2 linked regions of the Medicago truncatula genome follow. The protein of the gene in region 2 binds, or shares a complex with, the protein of the main gene of each other region. Links are inferred from orthologs where the notes say so. Each region holds a gene or a part of one and is shown on either strand. Other genes may lie near its edges.

Region 1 (10,682 bases), on a different chromosome or scaffold from region 2:
TTCTGTGGATGAGAGCATTCACTTTCTCAACTTTTAGTCTTCCGAAACTCGTGGTTTTGTCTTTCGAATTAGAAGAAACGAAGAAGACAAACTGTTTAGTGGGTCTTCTGGGTCTCACTCCAACTCCGATGCCAAACAGCAACGCTTTACCACAAACACCTTGCGCAACCACCACCATTTTCATTCTCACTCCCTCCCCTCCTCTTTCAATTTCCAACAAGATAAGGAAGCCCCTCTTTTTCTAATTTCATTTTTTAACCCAATTCCAATTATTCTTTGTTTATTTTCTTTTTCTTTTAAGGAGAAAATTATTCTTTCTTTTATATCTATTTAACTTTTTCGATTATCTTTTTTAAACAAATCACACCCAATTGCTTCCGCACAACTCCAAATAAAAACTATTTCCACACACATAAAATTACACATTATTTAGTCATTTTAAAAAATACATTATTTAATTCTTATTCTGTCTAAACCTTGTGATCACACAAAATTTCTTCCGCACATGAAGTCTTCACAATGATACCAACCATTTGAGCACATTATTTAACACACATCTTAAAAAATTATTAAATGTATTATATGTATGTATTTTTCTTTATTAAATTATTACGAAAAATTCACAATGATACCAACCATTTGAGCATATTATCTAAAGGAGAAAATGCTAACAACACTCACTTTTAAACACTCTCTTTAACACTTATTCTATTATTGGATAAAATCAATGTATACTCCACCACTTTATGTGAGTATTAGAGAGAATGTTTAAAAAAGAGTGTTGTTAGCATTACTCTTATCTCCTACGAGCAAATGACATGCTTAATGAGAGAATTCACTTTCCTGGTGTTTTGTTTTTTTTTTTTGGTTTTGTTTTTCCTAGGATCAAATAGCTAAAACTCAACTAATCCATGGTAGGAAAATTTATGCTTTCCATGCTAAATGTTAAGAGAATTGTTGTTGACATATATGCATTGGTTGAGAAACACGAGTAATTTATTCAAATGTCCATTGACAGTTAACTGCCGAATTATGGAACCGGCTGCAGTTAATTACCGAGAAAACTGCCGAGGAAACCTCAAACCTGTTATTTTATTTTATTTTTGACAAAAACCATAAATTATCATTAATAATATTTATTGATTTTGGTACATCTCAAACAATTACAGTAATATACTTGTATATAAAAAATATATATATAGAAGTTGTCACAGAAAAAGTTACTCATTACTTTAGAATACCTGCAAATACCAACTTTTTCTTTGTAAATTACAGTTGTCTCATAAGTTGTCAACCAAATGGTTATTCAAATAACACTCTTCTAAAATTATTATGATCCCGACAATTGGTTTTTCGATAAATGATTATTAGGTCACTCACACTATCCTTTGAAGGTGGCATTTCACATGGGAAGTTTAATCCTTTCCCACCATGGGAAAGTTGGATTTAATGATTAGATTAAGTGAAGAACATATTCTTAACATGCTCCCTCGACACTAGATTTTTCTTCCAACAATTTAAAAATTCTGAAAATTAATTTTCAGAAATTAAAAAAATACAGATAATTTTTTTTAAAAATTCTACAATTCATTTATTGAATGTTAATTTTTTTTTTTTAAAAATGAAAAAAAAAATTGTTCTAAATTTTCCAGAATTTTATTTTCTTAGAAAAATAAAAAACTTTAATTTCAAAATATTTTTTTTAGGATTTTTATTTTATTTTTCAGAATATCTTATTTTATTATGAAATTAAAAAAATATTCTTTTTAGAAAAATAAAAACTTATCTTAGTTTCCAAAATTTTATTTTTCAAAAAAAAATTCTAACATTCAACAAATGAATTACAGAATTTAAAAAAAAATTATCTTAATTTTTTTATATTTTTTCGATTTTTTTAATTTCTAAAAATTAATTTTCAGAATTTTTAAATTATTGGAAGATAGTGTGAAGAAAAATCTAGTGTTGAGAGAGCATGTTAAGAATATGTTCTTCACTTAATCTAATCATTAAATCCAATTTTCCCATGGTGGGAAAGGATTAACCTTTCCCATGTGAACACACACCTCCTTTGAAATGTGTCTTTAATTTTTGGGGGAACCATTTAGGAAAGAGAAAATGATGCGGCAAGAATACACATAGAAGTGTATGTTTGTAGCTTTTGACATATCCATCGTGATTCCAAACGCATGCTAAGCTGACATGCAACAGCGAGAAACAAAACATAACCAGATTTTGCCACTTATTTTCTAAAAAACCATCTTACTAGTTTAAAAAACTAAAAATAAAGGCAGTTAATCATTTACGTAAAAATTAGAAGAAAACCAGACTGAGAATAAGCACAAAATAGGTTGTTCATGTGAGTTGCATCATAATTTTATAGTTTCCAAATTATAAAACAGATAAAAATCCACAATGCCTTTAAATTATGAAAACTAGTACACGGCAAGCGGCATACGGAGTATAATAATAAATCCTTAAAACATGAGTCCTAGATGTAAGACATCCCAATTTACACCTACACAGGCATCGCACATATTCTGATTCTGTGTTGTATATACTATACGCAGCTAAACATTTCACAAGTAGGTAGTTAAGTGTTCTTAAAGCATTCAATCGTGACAAGAACTTGATTTTAAAAACATAACCAGACAACAGCTTGATTATAAAATCCATGTCATCAATCATGTGCTGGAACCAGGTTAATATTAGGGAGTAGAAACTGTGAAATAAAAAAAATATCATACAACACTACTTTCTGAGAACATAACCAGTAGTCAAAGAAATCTTAAATTCGGTATGTGCACATTCCATACAGACAGCATGCTCAAACAATGGAAGCAAGTGAAAGAGAAAGAGAAAGAATATCCAAAACCATAAATATAAAAAGCAAAGATCTGGTACAAAGGTTATCCATTCAAATCAGGTTTTTCTGTTCATCACCGATACATGTTTCAAACTTCATTAGCTAAAAAGGAAAGTTGTTCAAAGAGTGCACATTTCCAAGAAGACAAACTCGAAAAATAATTGGGAACATCTTATATAGGCTTGATCTTGAAGTGAAGTGAAATAAGAGAGAAGACAAAGCACTTCAAATCCTGCAAAGATAATTATAATTAGCAGGAATGAACGAAAGGCATAAGCTGACATCAAACAAATCTGGTATTGGGTGACTAATGGACAGGCACAACTATATAAATCACTCTCTAAAACAATGCAGAAATACAGTAAAAAAATCATGGGGCAATAAAGAGGAAAAAATCACAGCAAAGGAACCGTGATAAAAAAAGGCTAAAAAATACAATGATAACACATCATGGGGAAATACATAAATCAGTCTCTAAAACATTGCACAAATAAAGTGAAAAAATCACAGCAAAGGAATTCTGAAGTATAGGTTAAAACAATGAAAACAATGAAACAATTGAAATCCCATTGTATGAGGTATAAGATATCTGAGAGTTGCCAGGTCAGTTTAATTTGAGTTGTGTTCATGAAGGCAATTATTTGTGCATAGTGTTTGAGCAGTATTGGTATGCTTAAATTTGAAGGGAAGAATCTGAAATTGTAGGTGAAATGATCCTTGTAACAACAATGAGTGAGTAAATAGAATGAATCTGACTGACCTGAACAAGATAGTAAAAGATGCGAAGGCCTTCAGGATCAGCACTGCTTTGAACATCAACAAGAGAACCAATCTTGGAAGTAGTAAAGGAGATATGCTCATTCCCCATCACAATCTCAAGTTCCTGACGACCAACACGGTCTGGTTCTGGCCAGTTGTTATCATCTTCCTTCATAATCTGTTGAATAGAGTTGTTATAAGCAATAAAAGGGAAAAGGAAAAGGAAAAGGGGGTGAAATTAGGGTTAGGGTTAGTAAAAAGAATAGAAAAGAATACCTCGCTGTCAGAAATGATACGACGACACTCACGAAGAACAGCAGGAGTAAGATAAACCTCCTTACGAATGATTGTATCGTTTTTGTAATTGGAATTGTTAGCATAACGAAGCTTACCATCTGGACGGAACTCAAACTCCAAAAATTCATGTCCGAATTTACCCTTATGACCAACGTAGTATCTCAAGTAGAACTCTGCATTCTCTTCTTCGCTTCCCATCCTGATGATGTTGATTATCAACAATAACCGCCGATTGATTTTCAACCAGCAACCAGCAGAGTTGAAGAATATAAGTGCGAGTTCGAGTGTTCTTCTTCTTCTTCTTCTTCTTCGAGTTGGGCCTTTTCCACCAGGCCCGCTTCTTTTGTAGCCCACACTCTTCCACAAATTTTTTATTTTCATTATCATTTTCATATATTCTTTGTTTCTTACTTAAAAAATACATTCCCAAACTAATCTAAATACCATTTTAAATCACAATTTATTTTTATTAATTTCTCTTAAACATCATTCACTATATAAATTTGTTTGGCACTGGTTTGCATGATTAGTAAAACAATTTTGTGTTATAAGCTGGCTAGAACTAAGCAATATAACTTTCCAAATTAAGATATAGTCAGATTATCTGTAAAAATGTTACTCAAATTTCTCTTCCAAATACCTCAAAAAAAGGCTTCTCTTTCAGATACCTTGGTAACTTGTTAAAGAAACATAAGTTACAAAATTTAGGCAATTAGTAAAAAAATTATAAGTTAAATAATTAATAAAATAATAATAAAATTTGAAAGAAAAATATTATACTAATGTGTCTTTCTGTTTTCCTTGCTCTCTCATTTTTTTTTCTTTCCTCTTCTTTTTTTCTATTCTTTTTCCTTTTTTCTATTCTCTCTTATTAAGAGACTATGACTAGCTGTCCAAATATTGTTGATGTTAGCATCTGGGACTTCTTGAACGGTGCTAAATGAAGGACATTGTTGGAAAATTGATGGGTCCTCCATTAATTATTTGATTGATTCTTGGCTTCATTACGTTGATCAACCAAGAAATTAGACATGGTCCTCTCATTTCTCATAATCATGCAGTGAGTTAGTTGATTGATTGTGATACAGGTACATGGCATCAAGACACTATTACTAAGAATCTATTCAATCCCATGATGTTGAAAAGATTCTAAAAATTCCTGTATCAAGGCTCAATCGCGTAGATGAGATTATTTGGAGATTTGATAATAGATGCAAATATATTATTAAAAGTGCTTGCAACGTTTGAGATGAAAGGTTGATGAATAATGACGAGCTCAAAATACCCGGAGATTGGCTTAAGCGTTGGGATTTACCTATCCTTCCTAAGATCAAAACATTTATGTGGAAACTTGGGAACAATATTCTCCCCACTCAACACAAGATGAACAATGGTGTGCAATACCCTTCAACTTATATATGATGCGATCACGATTTGGAGTCTCTGGCATTTGTTTCTAGAATATGAAGATAGCATCCAGTATTAGCAAAAAACCGGTTTATGGTTGATGGTACAACCACTTATGCTATGCATACGGTTGAGGACTTTACTAACCCTGTTTTGTATGTACTGCACCGATTTAATGAGTCTCAAATCTCCAGGGTTACCATGATTTCATGGAGTATTTGACAAAACCAAAATGTAAAGCTTCCAGACAACAAAAATGAGCCCTAGGAGAATGTATTTTTTCGTGCTCGAGATTTCCTCAACTCTTGGCAACATGTTGTATTAAAATGCAATATCGATGGTGCCCCTTTTCAACAACAACAATGTCCAGGTATTGGAATGTGTGTGAAAGATGATCAAGGTCAGTTTGTTATGGCAAGGATGGATTGGTGGCGTATGAATCTCCAAATAGTGGAAATGTGAAGCTTGTGGTTTGCTTAATGCCCTCCATTGGATCATAGTTTATGGTCTTCAAAATATCATTTTTGAACTTGATTGTAAGCAGCTTGTTGTTGATGTGTCTCGTAGTAAAATCATAAGATAAGAATATGGTTCTATTGTAAGGGCACCTAGTATGCTCCTCGCAGTGATTTTCATTATCCTCCTAATTATATCCTACACTCTTTGCATAATGAAATTGGTTAACTTGGTTTGAGTAAAAAAAATTAAGCTAAGGCAATCAATTATCTAAAAAGAAAAAGGCTGAAAATAAGGACAAAATAGTTGGTTCATGTAGGTTCTATCATAATTCTTCAGTTTCTTCGTTTTTTTACAACAAAAATGTCACCATGCATTTAAATTATCAAAACTGGTACTAGTATTCAGTAAGCATATAGCGTAATAAATCCTTAAATATAAGTCCTAATGTAAGATATTGCAATTTACACCTACACAGGCGTCACACATATTCTGATTCTGTCTTGTATATACGTAGTGAGTTGACGTGCCGAAGTTACAAAATCACAAATGGGTAGTCAAGTAAAGGGTTCTTACAGCATTCAGCTGTGACAAGAACTTGATTATAAAATCACAAACAAAAAAGACCTTAAATCCATGCCATCCATCATGTGCTGAAACTAGGATTGGCACTGTGCATTTGGCGACGAAGTTCTCCCAGAAAGTCAAGCTGTGACACAGAAGAGGACGCACTCGCAGCTGGTGACATAATCTGAGGGAAAATAGATATTAAAAAGATCACGTTAGATTTAGAAGGCAGAAGGGAGGGGAAGGAGAATTGATATAAAGTTTTTTTTACTTTTTGTTTTATGAGAAGATTAATAAATAAAGCTTGCCTGATGAGGGAGTCTGAACTGAGTCCAAACTGAGGTCCCACCAGAATACATAACTGGTTTTTCTGAAATTCGAAAGAGGTAGGTAAAGAAAATTATTAAGCATAAATCGTGCACATGCCTAAGAGTATATGCAACACATAATCTACTATCACCGCATTTAAGAAGGTGGCTATTCATGATATCAATGTTCCGTATAAATAATATACGCTCACAAATGTCAAAAATGGTTAAACTTGACATCCCAACAGCAATTTAGAAACTATAAAGAGTCAACACCACAAAGATGATTAAAGAGTAATTATATGATATTCGTCACTTAGTAATAAGTCCTCTCAGCTTGAACTACATCAAAACACGTTGGACTAAATGTAATTGTAAATCACATATAAAATGCTAAATTACTGATACTGCATTTGATTGAGATGAATTCTCAAACACTAATGAACTGTATAAGGAACAACATATTTTAGTTGGTATAGTAGTCACCAAACTCCCGTAAGTCCTAAGTATCGCAATCACGTGATATATCACTTTTGAACATATCAAGTTACCAAGCTTATAGTAATTAGTCAATTAAAGAAAGAACTGGCAGCCAAACACACAAAAAACAAAAGGTTAGTTACTGCAACAGTGGTTAGCTTGAATCATTTCATAGTTTTACTGGTGACCTCAACTCAATGGATTGAAAACTTTTGAAACAAGCAAAACAAATCAAAGTTCCATCAACACTAAATATTAGACACAGTGACAAATTTCATAGCATGGAAAAGGTAGTCATTCTAATGATTGTCCACTAACCAGATGAATCTTTGGGATTGTTGTAGGACTGTATTACAGCTGTCCAACCTGGAAACAGAAGTCCATGGGCAACAGGTAATGTTAATCAATGGTATCGACAATTTGACATAACAAGCAGATAAGAGAAAACGAACAAGTCCCCCCCTCCTCACTATAATGCAATAAGCAGTTAAAATACGAGAAGACAGGAACAATTAATGAAACAAAAGGTATGCAAACATGTAAAAGCAAGACATATGTCTATTACAATTTATAAACAAAATAATTCACAATAATGTTGATATTTCTTTTTGGACTTGAGAATTAGCTATCATCTCTCAAGGAATCTTGCTCAACACGACACAAACAAGTACTTTGGGAATTTATAGAAAATGAAGGAGCACATATCATGTTAAATAAAACTAAAAGCTGGCCTTGGGCATTCCTTTTCCACAGACAAGCCATAACAAACAATCATGATCAATATATTCCGAAGTCCTAAAATCTGCATATCTCAATCCTATGCAAACTAATTGAAGGTATTTTTCATTGATCAGATACTTATTAGAGTCTGTTCTAATGAGAAAACCTAAAGAACTACAGAAATCATCAGGGCAAAAGAATATTCAATTTAATTTAATAAGCCAACATATACAAGTTCTCACAAACAAAAGGCAGGGAAGACTCACGATCACTAAGAAGCTGGGAAGCTGCACTGCTACTACAACCTTGTAAAGCAATGAATCTTGAATAATGGTTCTCATTAAAAATATTACTGCTGCTAGCATGTCCGTGATCTGTAACTTGAATGTTTTTTGAAGAAGCAACTTGATTCTTTTCTATATCACTGCCAACACTGTTTGATCGATCAAGCCGATCTACATAATTTGATAGAAAGCAAACGACATGTACAAATTAGAAACAAACAAAATAGAGCAGGAACTGACAGCAAATGGGCCAAAAGCTTTACCATTGATCACTGTCAATTATGCAAATGAGAAATAACACATAAATTACAAAAAAAAAAAAAAAAAAAAAAAAAAAAAAAAAAAAAAGGAGGAAGAAATCCACTTGCATCAAGAGCTACAAGACTTAATTTGCGACTTCAAGAACTTTTACATAGATCTGATGGCTAATTGTATTAAACAATTATCTTCATAAGAAATTTCTTTTAATTTATCTCCCATCAGACCATGCCAGAAGGACACCCACTGATTCAATGTTACAGAAATGAATCCTATATATAAGCAACTTTCTTATCTTCCAACAATACAAACTAATAGTTCAATAACACCTTTTCTTCAAGTTACATAAACTGATAGAACTCTGTGCATAGGTAACAATATTATGTGCCTCGCTATTCTAAAAAGAACATTCGTGATTCACAGTCCCAGATCCGTTCCATTATTTAGGATGATACATTGATTGAACTAAAAAGCAAATAAGGGAATAGTATTTACAGTAGTAAGTAGCTCAACTTAATAGATAAAATATGTTTGACATTGCTTGATGTGATGCTACTGCTACAACTACCTAGTAAAGAATAAGTTAACTAACCAGATGAAGATTTGCGCCTATTATTGATAGAACGGTTCCTTTGATTGGGTGGAGCATAGCGCTTCACCACCACAGGACCAGATTCCGGTGGCTGAGCTTGAGGGTTTTCTAGCATCATCCCTCTGACTCTCAGTCTCTTCTTCCTTTCTTAGAGAGATAGATACAACCCAGCAGAAAGAGAACGCATCGTTCCTTTCCTTTGACCATAAATAATTCACTATTATACTTTAAATTTAATAATAATAATATTTTATCGTACATAATTCACCTCATATCTGGATGGATGGGGTTCAAACCTCATATTGGTAACACAAAAAATTTCTTGCATTACCTTGTAGCGTTTTTTGATATGCTATTTCAAACAATTTTTTAGTTTATAGCTTATACATTTTTATATTTTCTTCCAATTTTAACCATATTAATTTTTATTTTTTTTAATAAAACAATTACCATGTTCATATTTAATAACTGTCACATTTTTTTCCCTTAAATAAGAAAACTGCCACGCTGCATATTTTTAAGGAACACTTTATATATATATATATATATAATGGGGTTTGCAAACTTAGATCAACAAAAAATATGAAGGTCCAAATTAGTAAGATTGGTGCTAGTCACACCCCAAAAAAAACAAGTTACATCCAAATTTATTTAAAATTTTACAATAATATCAAAATTGCCCTCTTCATGTAAATTTTTAAAAACTCATCTTTTATGATCATTATGAACTCTTACCCCCTTTCATCCACAAATCACCATAGATGTGCAACCAATATCTGAATCAACATCTTTGTTATTGATCTGTACTATATTCATAAAGGTTAGTGAATTTCATGAATTTCATTTTCAATGAGTTTCTATTTGTTTATTGTTTGTTTTGGTATGAGATATGCCTGTCAATTTGATTTTAAGTGAGAGGTTAGTGTAAATTAAGTTTACGTGTATGTATATAAAAGGGGTTAGGGGTTAATGTAAATTCAAGTTTACGTATGTTCAATTTAGGTTAGTGTAAATTCAGTTTACTTACGTTCAATCTAGGTTAATGTAAATTCAGTTTACTTATGTTCAATCTATGTTAATGTAAATTCAGGTTACTTATGTTAAATCTAGGTTAATGTAAATTAAGTTTACTTACGTTCAATTTAGGATAATGTAAATTAAGTTTACTTATGTTCAATTTAGGTTAATGTAAATTAAGTTTACTTATGTTCAATTTACATTAATGTAAATTTAGTTAATTTGAAATTTTTATTTTAGTTAAAAGGTATATTAGTCATTCTGAGGTGTAACTTGTTTTTTTGGGGTGTGACTAGCACCAGTCAATTAGCAAGTGTGCACATCTTCATTTAGACAAAAATACCATTCATTTTTATTATTTAACACAAATAATTTGAAGGTTACTTTAGTAATTTTTATTATAAAATATTTGTTAAGTTGCACCAATTTATAAAATAATGATTTATAATAATAGTAGATATATATTTTTGTCTAAATAAATATGTGTACGCTTGCTTTTGTTGGTTTAAGTTAACAAACTAATATATATATATAAAAATGCTTTATATTTTGTTATAAGTTATAACTAGCCTATTCTAAGTTCTAACATTTTATTACTTAAAAGAAAAATTGTAACATTTTATATATTCTTAGTCACATTTTTTGACCACCTTGCTCTTAATGTTAGGATCCAT
Region 2 (11,874 bases):
CTAACAGAAGGGACCACTTAGGTAAACGGAGGCAAAATTATGGGACCAAATTGAGATAGTTTAAAGTTAAGGGACCAAAATAAAATTCAAAAATAAGTTAAGGGACCAAAGCATGTATTAAGCCTAATAGTTAACTTTGAGCAATCATATCATATTATGTCAAAAAAAAATAACTTTAACCGCCATTTAAGAAATCAATTTTTCTTTTTTCGAAATTTTATTTTAATTATATGATTTGAGAATACAAAGTTCAATTTTAAATACTTGTTCTTAATTCCTTCAAAAAAAAAATACTTGTTCTTAATTGACTTCAATAAATTGTCCAATATTTTTATTTTATCTTGCATTGCATTGCTTCATTGTTTATGATATTTGTCCTCAAATATAAGACCCCTTAAAAAAACCTTGTTCTTTTTTATAAGGTTCTCTTTCAATTTCTAATTGTGTTAATTAATTATTTACCGACATATCTTATATTATTTTATATTTTTCTACGATCAACAATAAATATTATGAGAGAAACATAAATTAATTCTCTTGCTTAAACATATCAATTGTCTATACCATCATTTAGATAGTATATGTTTATGATCTAAATCGAAAATGAAGAAAAAATGTATTACTAGTTTGATTACATTAAAAAAAAACTAAAATGTTAATTGAGGAAGATGAGTATATTTAACAAAGAGATAGAGAAATATAACTCAAACTTCCCTCAAAGGAGCAAAGTGTAATTTCCATGTTTTACGCAAGAGGGTATATAATGAGGAGCGATATTTGAACAACCAAAATCAAACAACTTTAATGACAACCTTTTTTCTTCTCTTCTTATTGGACAATAACAATAGAGAGAGAGACAAAAAAAAAAAAGTACAATGAGAGTATGAGAGAGAAAGTTGTCACAAAAGTGTTTAAAAATGGTTGTTCAAATATCATTTCTCGTAAATAATATTTCTTAGCGTACGAGAGAAATATATTTCTTAACGTACGAGAAAAAGGTAGAGTAATTTAAACATCTCTCGGGAGAGTGTAAGTTACTCCTAAAATAAATTACAAAATCAGTTGAAACTTTAAACCTTTATGACAAAAAACTGTGGCATCATTTGCTCTTGTCACGAGGCTGAACAAGGAAAAAAAAAAACAATTCATTGTTCAGGGAATCAGGGTGTTGAAAACTGAAATGGAATCGTCCCAATGCACGTCATCTTTAATCCTACAGTTTGCTAAGATTTTGAACCAAACTTCACTTTTCTTTTATGGTTGAGCAAACCTTTACGAGAGATCTAGCATAAAGTAAACTTTCTAATTCTAAACATGCTCAAATTAAGCCAAACCACTCAAATCGGTTAATAGATTGAGTGTGTCAATCGAACTCTCTAGAATTGAATGGTCGAACAGATTAACCCATTAAAGCATACTCGTTCTACCACCCTTAGATTTAGGCTTTACAAGCTTGGTAATAGAGCAGACGACAACAAACCTCTTCAAAGGCAGTACCTACCTTAGGTCATTACTACAAATATGACCCCCCTTGACACGAAATCTATGTCACGTAAATGCATGGAGAAGTAACTTTACTATGTAAATACAACACAATACATGGTGGCAAAGAAAAAGATGGGAGGAATAAAATGCCTCTATTGAGAGAAAAAGAAACACGCTAGTGTTGTTCACTCATTCACGCCCATCACATACAAGACGCAATCCAAAAGAGATACTATCTTCTTCAACACAATGTCATTACATAATAAAGAAAAACTAAACCAAACACGTTACTACAGTGCAATACAGATATGTTAAAACACTAAACCATAATAAACTTGAGTTAATAACATTCAACAAATGATGTAAGATAAGATTCCTCAACAACCGATATGTATTTTGTCTGACGGAAGCTGCATAAGTATAGGAAAAAGCATCCACAATTGGACAAACACAAATCACACCGCTCATTTAAGTTCCACACAACTGACATCATGTATAATTAACAAAGACCCTTTCAATATCTCCTCCTAGGAGGACTCCTGGAGCGCCGCTGAGGTCTGCAAAATGTCAAAGTTCCAAACACTCAAATGCTAAACTATGAAAAAATTATAAGGGGAAGAAGGTTAGTAAATAGCATTTAGCATTTGCTTAAACACAACTGCATGTTTGGTAGATTGGTATCATTGTGAGTTTGTCGAAATCACGGTGACATTGTGATTCTAACAAACTCATTGTGAATCCAAACATACAACGAAACGGGGTTGAAAAATGGAATGCAAATTATTTAACGATAGTCTAGGACAATGCACCATATCTTCATTTTTCAATCCATCTGCAAAGAAGAGAATTATATATATATATATATATATATATATATATATATATATATATATATATATATATATAATGCATTTTAATTTCTAATGAAGTAGGATATGTTTTACAAACTTTCAAGAGTGGAGTATGTGTTGGCAAAAATAAATTTTACAGTTGGATACCACACAAGTTATGTAGTTGAATATCTTGTGACCAACATAGAAAACGACGAAGAAAACCAACACAAACATAAACTAAGTGAAGATGTGATGAGAATTGAGTGTTGGACATGTGGAAAGACTAGAAAGGGTAGGATTAGAGATGATAGCATTAGATAGAGTTGGATAGAGCCTATTGTAGAAAAGATGATGAAATCTCGAGTTAGGTAGTTCGGACAAGTGTGGAGGAGACATGTAAATTCCATATTAAGAAAAGTGGATGAGATAAAAGGCAACCAAATTGCGAAAGGCAAAGGAAGGCCAACAAAAACTATTGGCAAAAATTAAAAAAATATTTAGAGGCCAATGACTTGACTATAAACATGGAACTGTGATAACAAATCATAATGTGGTTTGATCCATGTAGCCAACCCCACTTTGTGGAATAAGACTCGGTAGTTGCTGTAATTGGAAATACCAACTCAAATAAATGATGTAAAACTCAAACCAAAAACTTTATGGAACTTTCTTCAAGATTAATGTTGTGAAATAACATACTACTCTGCAGACAAATATAAAACAAAAATAAATTACCTGTTTCTTCTAACTGTCTCGTTAATAGGTCCACTGCTGAAAGCCCAATCAACATAAATGGTTTGTGTGAGAAGCACAGATCCATTCAAATTCTCTATTGCATTCCGAGCTTCCTCGGAGCGCTCATATTCAATCAGTGCATAACCCTAAATTCAAAATGCTTATCAGTATAGAAACCAAAATCTTCACATGATAAAATGGCACATGCAGAAATGAGCAGAAGTTGCCAGGAAAAGGAGAACTAATCTCCAGTTTCTGAAACTGATATTAATCATCAATCAATGATGTATGAACATAGAAACAGATGGCAGAAAATTTTCTTGAACAAGGATCAACCCTGTTTACAAAATTACAAGTAGTCTAAAAAAAGTCTTAGCTTTTCTTAATAAAATAAGATAAGTTGAGATCAAAGCAGCGAAAGTGGCAAACAAGAGTAAAAGCATCATCATAAAAATATAAAACACAAAAGAAACGGCAATAACCTACACAAAGTTACTTGTTAGGAAGGATTATATGTTTCTTCCACTACATCCTTTAAAAATCAATACGGCATTGATTTATACTGATAGAGCAACATCAATTTAAAAAAAAATAAAAAAATACTGCAGGGAGTGCAGTGAGGCCATTTTATAAAATTTATATACATGAGAAACAAATCAACAACCATCTGAACCCCAAAGTAACAGCTTGAGGTCAATAACAAAATGTGTGCAGCAAAGCAGAATTCATGCCATGACTGAGACATGAAATGAAAGTTGAGTCCAACTAACGGTGAAAAGATATGAGATGATAACTTCAGTTAAGGTTGCATCAATCAGGAGTACCCAAGTTCGATCCCATGCTGGAATGGGAGGACCCAAGTTATCCCATGCTGCAACAATCTCCGGCCTCACTTTACTTAACTCTCAACCAAACTCCGCAACATGGTTACCGGTATCACAAAATAAATGAGCTATTTCTCAATTTGATACAAAACAGAACCAATCGATAACTTCAGTTAGTGTGTATCATTATATCTATGTGGGACGAATCCCATCTTGAATCCCAATTCACTAAAACGATTTTCATTTCATTCTAATGGTTCCGTATCAAAATTAGTGATGCTGGCCACTTTTTTCACTCAACAATGTATAGCCCCGCTTGCCATTTGATTCATGACTTGAATTATTTGAAGGTTCATATATTAGCTTATAATTTTGCTATGTCACTTATCTTACTTAAAAATGTCATATTTTTATGGACAGTATATATTACAGTTCATATAAAGATTCAATTCCGAAAATAGATCTTCTGATTCAAAATTTGATAACCATGCTCCGGATTATCAAGGCACCTTTCCTCGGGAAACCAGAAGGTTAACAATAAAAAAGGAGAATCATAAAGATTAAATATTGCCATTAATGGATCACTTTGAGAGTTTGAGAAATATATGGAAAAATGGAGATCTTTCACATTTTTTGGAAGAGTAATTTTTTAGAAAATGATAAACTAATATGTTTTTAATTTTAAGAATATTATAACAACATAGATTTAATGCAATTTTTGAGTTTCCCCAAATGAGGGGGATTTTGTATTATGAAGAAACATGAACCCCCCAAAAGCCTCCCCCTCCCCCTCCCAATGTCTTCTATTTCATCCACTTGCTCCTTCCATTTTTCCCAAAGCCTCTCCCTTCCTTCCATTTGGAAAGGGGAAAAAAAAAAGCAAATAAAGGAATTTGAGAAGGGAAGGCCTTGGGGGTTAATTTTTCTTCGTAATACAAAACCCTCCTGATTTAGGGGAACTCAAAATTGCAATGGAGGAGGGTTTTGAAGGGATTTGGAAAGTTTATACGAATTCTTCAAATTCAATGTATGTAGTTATAATATTCTTAAAATTACAAGTGTATTAATTATAAAACATTAGTTTATCATTCTCTAAAAAGAAAACTCTTTTAAAAACGTGAAAGATTTTCTCTATTTTCCCCTGTGTTTTCCACCCCCAAAGCCCTCTCCTTCCCCCCTCCAAACTCCCAAACAAAGCCTTAGGGCTTGTTTGGGAGAGGTTTTTGGAGGGCTAAGACAATATGTTAAAATATATTTGTTATTTAAAAAAAATTCAAAGAACATGATAAAGGATCATATAATACTTCAATCAAACCTAATTGATTTTAAAAACATCTTATAGTAAACATAATTTAATAGAGAAAAGTAAAGTCTCCCCTCCAAAACCCTCCATAGAAACATACCCTTAGATTAACAACATTACCCCACCATATTCATCTCCTACTTCAAAACACTTTCTATCATCAATTAGTAACAAAAAGGTATCCATAAAACTAGTCAATTTGTATGAATAAGTAAACAATGCACAAGAACAATACAGTGAAGTGAACAGCGAAAAAATCATCAATGACACACCTTAACAAAACCAGTACGGCGATCAAGATTCAAGTGAAGATTCTTAATATCACCATATTCACCAAAAGCATTCTGCAAATCATCATCTTGAGCTTCCTCATGTACACCAGTCACCAAAATAATCCATCCTTCAATAGCTACAAAAACAGCAACATTATTAAGCATAAAAACCCTAAAAATCAAAATCACGCAATTAAATTGAAAAAATTGAACAATTGGGAACACGAACATCGTTGAGGACCAGGACCACCCTCAGCAGTGAGAGTATCGAAACCGGAATCAGCAAGACGAGAGTTACGGTTGGAGGAATCAGAATCCTGACGGAAACCGCGACCTTTGGTTTTTTTGGGAACGGAGGTGATGGCGGATTTGAGTTTGGGATGTGGAGGAGAAGCTTCGGCGTCAACAGCACCTTCTTCGTCCATCAAGTCATCTTCCTCTGGCTCGAAATCCAAAGCTTCTCCGTCGGCGGCGCTTCCTTGCATTGTCGCTGAATAGAGAGGAGTGAGTGTATGAAGGCTGGTTCAACCTAGGGTTCCCAATTCTAATTCGTTTGAATTACAACGAGTAATGAATGTATAATGTATTTTAATTGAAAAATGAGAATATTCTACACTATTTGAAAGAGTTCAAATGGTTTTTTTTGGGTAACAAATCATTCCATTAAATAAGGATCAAAATCACTAATTAATAAAAGAATCAGAGTCACATAATCATTCAATTAAATTAGTTCCGTCTCGTGTCAGTTGGCAAGGACGATGCATAATATGTGCAAGTTTTGAGGTTCGAATCTTGGACACTTACAAAAAAAAAAAAAAAAAAGTATGTCCATCACCTAAGTTAGGGTAGGACAAAATATGGAAAATCGACCCAAAGCCGATTTAATCGTTTGCCTTATTTGACAAAGCGGTTAAGAGAGTCGAGTAAAATAGATTCATTAGATAATGTTGATTGATTTCGGATGGGTCAATGCGGGTTGAAGAAAACGGAACCCGACTAATATGTTACCATTATGTTGTTGGACAAATTATAAGTAGACTATATGTTTAATTTTTGAAGGCTGATACGGAGATTTGAACAAATTACGTCATCTTTATAGAGTATACATAACATTTTCTTTCTTCTCATGCATCATATAAGAAAATTGAAATAGTATATCAACTCAGTAGACATGACACCGACAAACTCAAACAACATAAGACAATACTATTTGGTTTAATAAATATAATTCATCACAAGTACAATAGAAGAATTATTAAACAACTTAATGGAATTCGTATGAGCCTATAAAATGTACTTGACATTATCGGAATCAACGGTTAATCTATAATTATACACAGACTTGTCTTCAACTATAATTATATCCCGATAGACTACTTATACTTGTGACATTAATTATAAATATGCATGATAGTAGTTGCACTTCAACCATTTTTATTCTAAAAAGTGGTCAGAATATGTCTTGGAAGGATCATCTAGGTTGTCAGCCTACGAACAAGCATATTCTCTTTTGGTCTTAGACGGTCAACATATTTACAATCTTGAGAGATTTGAATAATCTCATGATTGTCTTCTCATTCTCCACTCTAAGGCTCCATACACCAACAACAAATAACCTCTCCACCTAAACGATCAATCACATTTCAATGAAGCTGATATTTTACACTTCTTTCACATCTCAATATGACAAATTATTTTCTGTCATTTCCTCCATTGTCGGATTTCCCGAACAGTAAATTCTAACTTCCTTGCTTTATTCTGGTGAAGTAAACTTTCTTTTAGTATTACACTTGTTTGGGGTGATCAATACAAGGCGCAACTAAAGGTACAAACTTGATTGATGGAAAGTGGTGGTTTGCCTCTTAACCTTCACGGGGCCAACATAAAACCATTGTTTGTTGTCGTAGGGGTCGTCGAAGGACCACCACCGACGACCACCTTTTATACATATTAAAATAAAGTTGGTTTGGTTAATTGGTCCTAGAATTTTTTTGAATTCTGCTCATTATCTAAACAGCATTGCTCATTTCCAAAGTAAATGTCCAAAATGCCCATGCGCATGTTAACATGCGTAGCGTGACTTAAGTTGCGCTAGTTATAAGAGGAACGCAACTTAAGTCACGCAGCGTGAGTTAAGTTGCGTTAGTGTATTTTTTTAACCTAAGTTAAGTCACGTAGCGTGACTTAAGTTGCGCTAGTGTATTCTGAGCGTGAGTTAACTCGCGCCGGTTGGTCGGTGCAGAACTGAAGAACAAACATTATTTATTTTATTCTAAATTAGTTTATTTACTTTATTCTAAATTATTTATGCACTTAAAATAAATATTGATTCGATATTATTCATTAAATAAATACAAATATAGATAAAAGTAAATGAACTAAATTAATATTTATTCATTAAATACAAAATTAGAAAATAAAAGCAAATATAAAATAAAAAGGAATGAACAAAATTGAGGCATATAACAATATCTCATTTTATTAATAGAATTCATACAATACAATAATTTATTCCAATTCACTAATTTATTCTACTTATTTTCTCCCTTTTGGGGTAAAATAGGGAGCAACCTTCTTGGAGAAAATACATGATCAACCCTTGGGCTAAATTTAAATCTGGTTTTTTTTATACCCACGGTAAAAAGTTTATGGAGTAAAAAAAGCAAATTTAAACTTATCCCAATGGTCGATCACTTCCCCATGTCGGCTTCTCACTATTTTACCCCGACGAAGATTGATCACTTTTGCCCTCAAAGAGAATACTGAAAAAGAAAGAAAGAAGAGAAATAGAGGGAGAGAGTGAGGAGGGGGGAGAAAGTGATATGGTGTGAGAAATTAGGGAAGTATGGAGGGGTATTTATAGGTGGGAATGGTAGTATAGGTTGTAAACACCATTAATGTGGTCAAAAAACGTGTAAAATAGTGTTAAAAACGTGTGGATAGAATGTTGAAAAACTGACCACAGACCAAAAAACTTTTGTTCTTCGGTTCTGCACCGGCCAACTGGCGCAAGTTAACTCACGCTCAGAATACACTAGCGCAACTTAAGTCACACTACGTGACTTAACTTAGACAACAAAATACACTAGCGCATGTTAAGTCACATAATGCGACTTAACATAGGTAAAAAATACACTAGCGCATGTTAACATGCGCAAGAGCATTTTGGACATTTACTTTGGGAATGAGCGATACTATCTGGGTAATGAGCATAATTCAATTTTATTTTTTTTGCAATAAGCCTAGTAAAAAATTGGTTTTGGGCTGATATATTGTTTTTGAAAAAAAAAAAAAAAAGTTTTTGGGCTGAATACATAAAAAAAAATGAATTTCTTTTTCCACCCTCTAAAACTTTTTCAGTTATTAAATCCGAGTGTTGGAGGGTGTTTTTAACGTGTTCTAGCGCTTTTTTGAGTATGTAATCCAAACTTCTTAAGACGCACGAGAAACCGGTAGGGTGCGAAAAGAAACCGTCTAAATAAAATGTTTTGGAAATATTTTAAAAAATTCTGCAATTTTTTTAAGGAGAAAACTTAGGTACAATTCCTTAATATGCTTTCATAGATGAATCCAATGAATACACATCCATTTAAAATATAATAATGGATAAATTTGATGGTTTTATGTTTAATGGATGAATTAGATTAGATATTTTTTTTTAAATAGTATTGTTAATGGATCCTTTTTATCCATCCAAATTTAAAGTCATCCATTTTACCACCTTAGGCTAGACCAAAACTCTTTTTTAGGCATTAATATTTGTTTTCTGAAAAGATTTCAATAGTTTGTTTACATGTTCTCTAAAAAAAAGTTTTTTTAACAAAACAAAAATAGTTTACTTGTTAGAAATATGAATTTGACCCATGTCAACTGCTTGGTGTGTTTTAGGTTGGATTGGACCACCAAAATTGAGGCTAAATGAAAGCCATGGACTGATCCAATATGGGTCGTTTTTCATGTCTTAGGTTTACTAATTGAAAATTGCTTTTTTGACATATAATACTTCATATTGACACAAGTAATTTACCAAAAAGCTTCCGGCGACAGTTAACAACCGTTAGGCCATGCGCAGACAGTTAACTGCCGCTGGCATTTAGTGGTTGTTAACTGTCGTTGCTTTCTGTTATATGAACAGAACAGCGTAGGAGTTTCCAAAACTCCATTGTTACGTTTTTGGATTTCTCAGGTGCGTTTTTCAGCAAACATCGGCCATTCCAAGCTAATTTCAAGCACAAAATCAAGTAAATTTTTTGAATCCTATGGCATTGCTATTTTGTGATTGATTTGTTAGTTTTTTTTGGTTAATTGTGATTATATAGGTTTATTGATTTTATGATATTATGATAGTTTGGGTTGTTTGAATTGTTAGGTTTATGTTAAAATTGTTTAGATTGTTAGAATTGTTATGAAATTATGGTAGAATTTTTAGGATTAGATGAATTGTTGTTGTATAATCGTTGCGATTAGTTTAGGTTTGTTATGAAATTTTGTTGTTGAATTTGTAATAGAATTGTTACGATTAGTTACGGTATAATTTTTAGGATTAGTTTAGGTTATGATCAATTATTGTATAATTGTTACGACATGATGTAGGTTTTGATCGCCGATTTATTTATGTAGATATGTCTAAGAATTAGGGAAACGTTGAGGTGAACAAGAAGAAGGAGGGTGACGGCAGGAAGAAAGAAAAATCACTGATGACATGGCATGGAATCACATGTGATGGATCCGTAAAAAATAATGATTCGAAGGTGCTGGTGTATAATCATTCGAGGTTGAGGAGGAGCGGGAGGACATGCTATTTTGGTCCTCAAGCAAAAGCAGGTGCCCCAGGGACTGTCGAGGACAAACCAATTGACTTGTGTGATTAGAAAGATGATTGAATGTAATGGGTTGTAATATCTAATTGATTTGGATCTTTTTTTATGGTACATTTTGCTTGACATATTGGTACTTTGAATAAATTCGCATTTTGAATAATTTCAATTAAAATCGCATTTGGAATAATTTCGATTAAAGTCGCGTTTCGAATAATTGTGTATTCGAATAAAAACTAATTAAATCTAATGTGAATTCAACTAATTAAAATTGCGTAATGAATAAATAAATTCGAAAAGTGAATAAATAAGATAATTATTGTTCCATTCAAAACAAAATGTATTATGCATATTCAACTATATATGTTATCACATTACATTGTATTACATTACATTCCAGAATGTATCTTCCAACTACAACAATTGTCTTACTCTGGATGGGGCAAATTCAAACTTGCTAAACAGCAGGACTCCAACATCCGATCAGCATCTTGAATGATGGTATTTAACTGTCAAAAGAATGAGGTGCATTCCTTGACACTTCAATACCAATATTCAAGAGGCTTATCGAATGTTGGAGTCCTCCCGATTAACAAGTTTGAATTGCCCCATCCAGAGTATGACAATTGTTGTAGTTGGAATGTGCATTCCAACTACAACAATTGTCTTACCTTTGAATGGGGTAAATTCAAACTTGCCAAACAACAGGACTCAAGCATTTTGCACCGCATTCATGTTTTTCCTTTGAAAAGAATAAATTTTTGTTAGGCTTGCTTTAGATGATGATATTCAAGTGCCAACGAAATGAGGTTCATTCCTTGGCACTTAATACCTTCATCTAAACCAGCATAACAAGAATTTAATCTTTTCAAAGGAAAAACATGAAAGCTGGGCGAAATGCTTGAGTCATGGCCATTTGGCAAGTTTGAATTACCCCATTTCAGAGGCAAGACAATTGTTGTAGTTGGAATGCACCTTACCATAACTAATGATGATTTTCTGGCGGAATCAAGCTGTTGATGATATCTTCAGTTGATCTCAGCAACGTTACCCGCATATTGATCCACTGGAACATGTTGTGCTCCCAAAACATGCTCGTCACGTTTTCGTCGTTCGTTAATTCCACCGAAGTGAATGATACTCTCCCCTCGTCGAGCGTTGGACGTTTATACCAAACGTGTTCCACCCTCCTTGTGTCTCCGGGGTTGACTCCTTGGTTGAATTCAGTCAGTTCATCCTTGAGACCTCTTAACGTTATACCAAGGCATCAAACCTTCAACCTCTGAGGTTCTCCGCCATTGAATTGTGCATGAACGTCGATCCACCCGACCATTGCTTCAAATCTACACAATAAGAAATTAAAAATAATCAATGAAAAACTCATTCAAACACTTGTAGTGAAAATTTGACATAAACCATAGCAATATAACTTCAATGTAACAGGTATTCATAATATATGTTAATAGCATTTCATAACTACAACATAACTATATTATAAACAAATATTTAAACCCTAAAAAATTTATAAAATTCGGAAAAAAATATAAATTCAAGCAATATAACTTCATTATAACAGATATTCATAATATATGTTAATAGCATTTC

What was found.
Region 1: RNA-binding protein Y14A (region 2) and protein mago nashi homolog share a complex: the UniProt entries of both Arabidopsis thaliana proteins name them as parts of the mRNA splicing-dependent exon junction complex. The link is inferred for Medicago truncatula from reciprocal best matches to the Arabidopsis thaliana genes Y14 and MAGO.

The regions. Positions count from the first base shown.
Region 1 is NC_053044.1:58,689,866-58,700,547, reverse strand, and holds protein mago nashi homolog, read right to left. Parts: upstream 4,279-10,682; 5' UTR 4,118-4,278; coding exon 3,899-4,117; intron 3,801-3,898; coding exon 3,624-3,800; intron 3,096-3,623; coding exon 3,036-3,095; 3' UTR 2,772-3,035; downstream 1-2,771. Other genes in the region: DEAD-box ATP-dependent RNA helicase 50, read right to left, coding at 1-184; uncharacterized protein, read right to left, coding at 6,429-6,533, 6,658-6,719, 7,456-7,503, 8,124-8,312, 8,992-9,109. UniProt on the Arabidopsis thaliana protein: Core component of the splicing-dependent multiprotein exon junction complex (EJC) deposited at splice junctions on mRNAs.
Region 2 is NC_053046.1:1,984,719-1,996,592, reverse strand, and holds RNA-binding protein Y14A, read right to left. Parts: upstream 6,037-11,874; 5' UTR 5,938-6,036; coding exon 5,682-5,937; intron 5,590-5,681; coding exon 5,453-5,589; intron 3,200-5,452; coding exon 3,054-3,199; intron 2,043-3,053; coding exon 2,000-2,042; 3' UTR 1,619-1,999; downstream 1-1,618. UniProt on the Arabidopsis thaliana protein: Core component of the splicing-dependent multiprotein exon junction complex (EJC) deposited at splice junctions on mRNAs.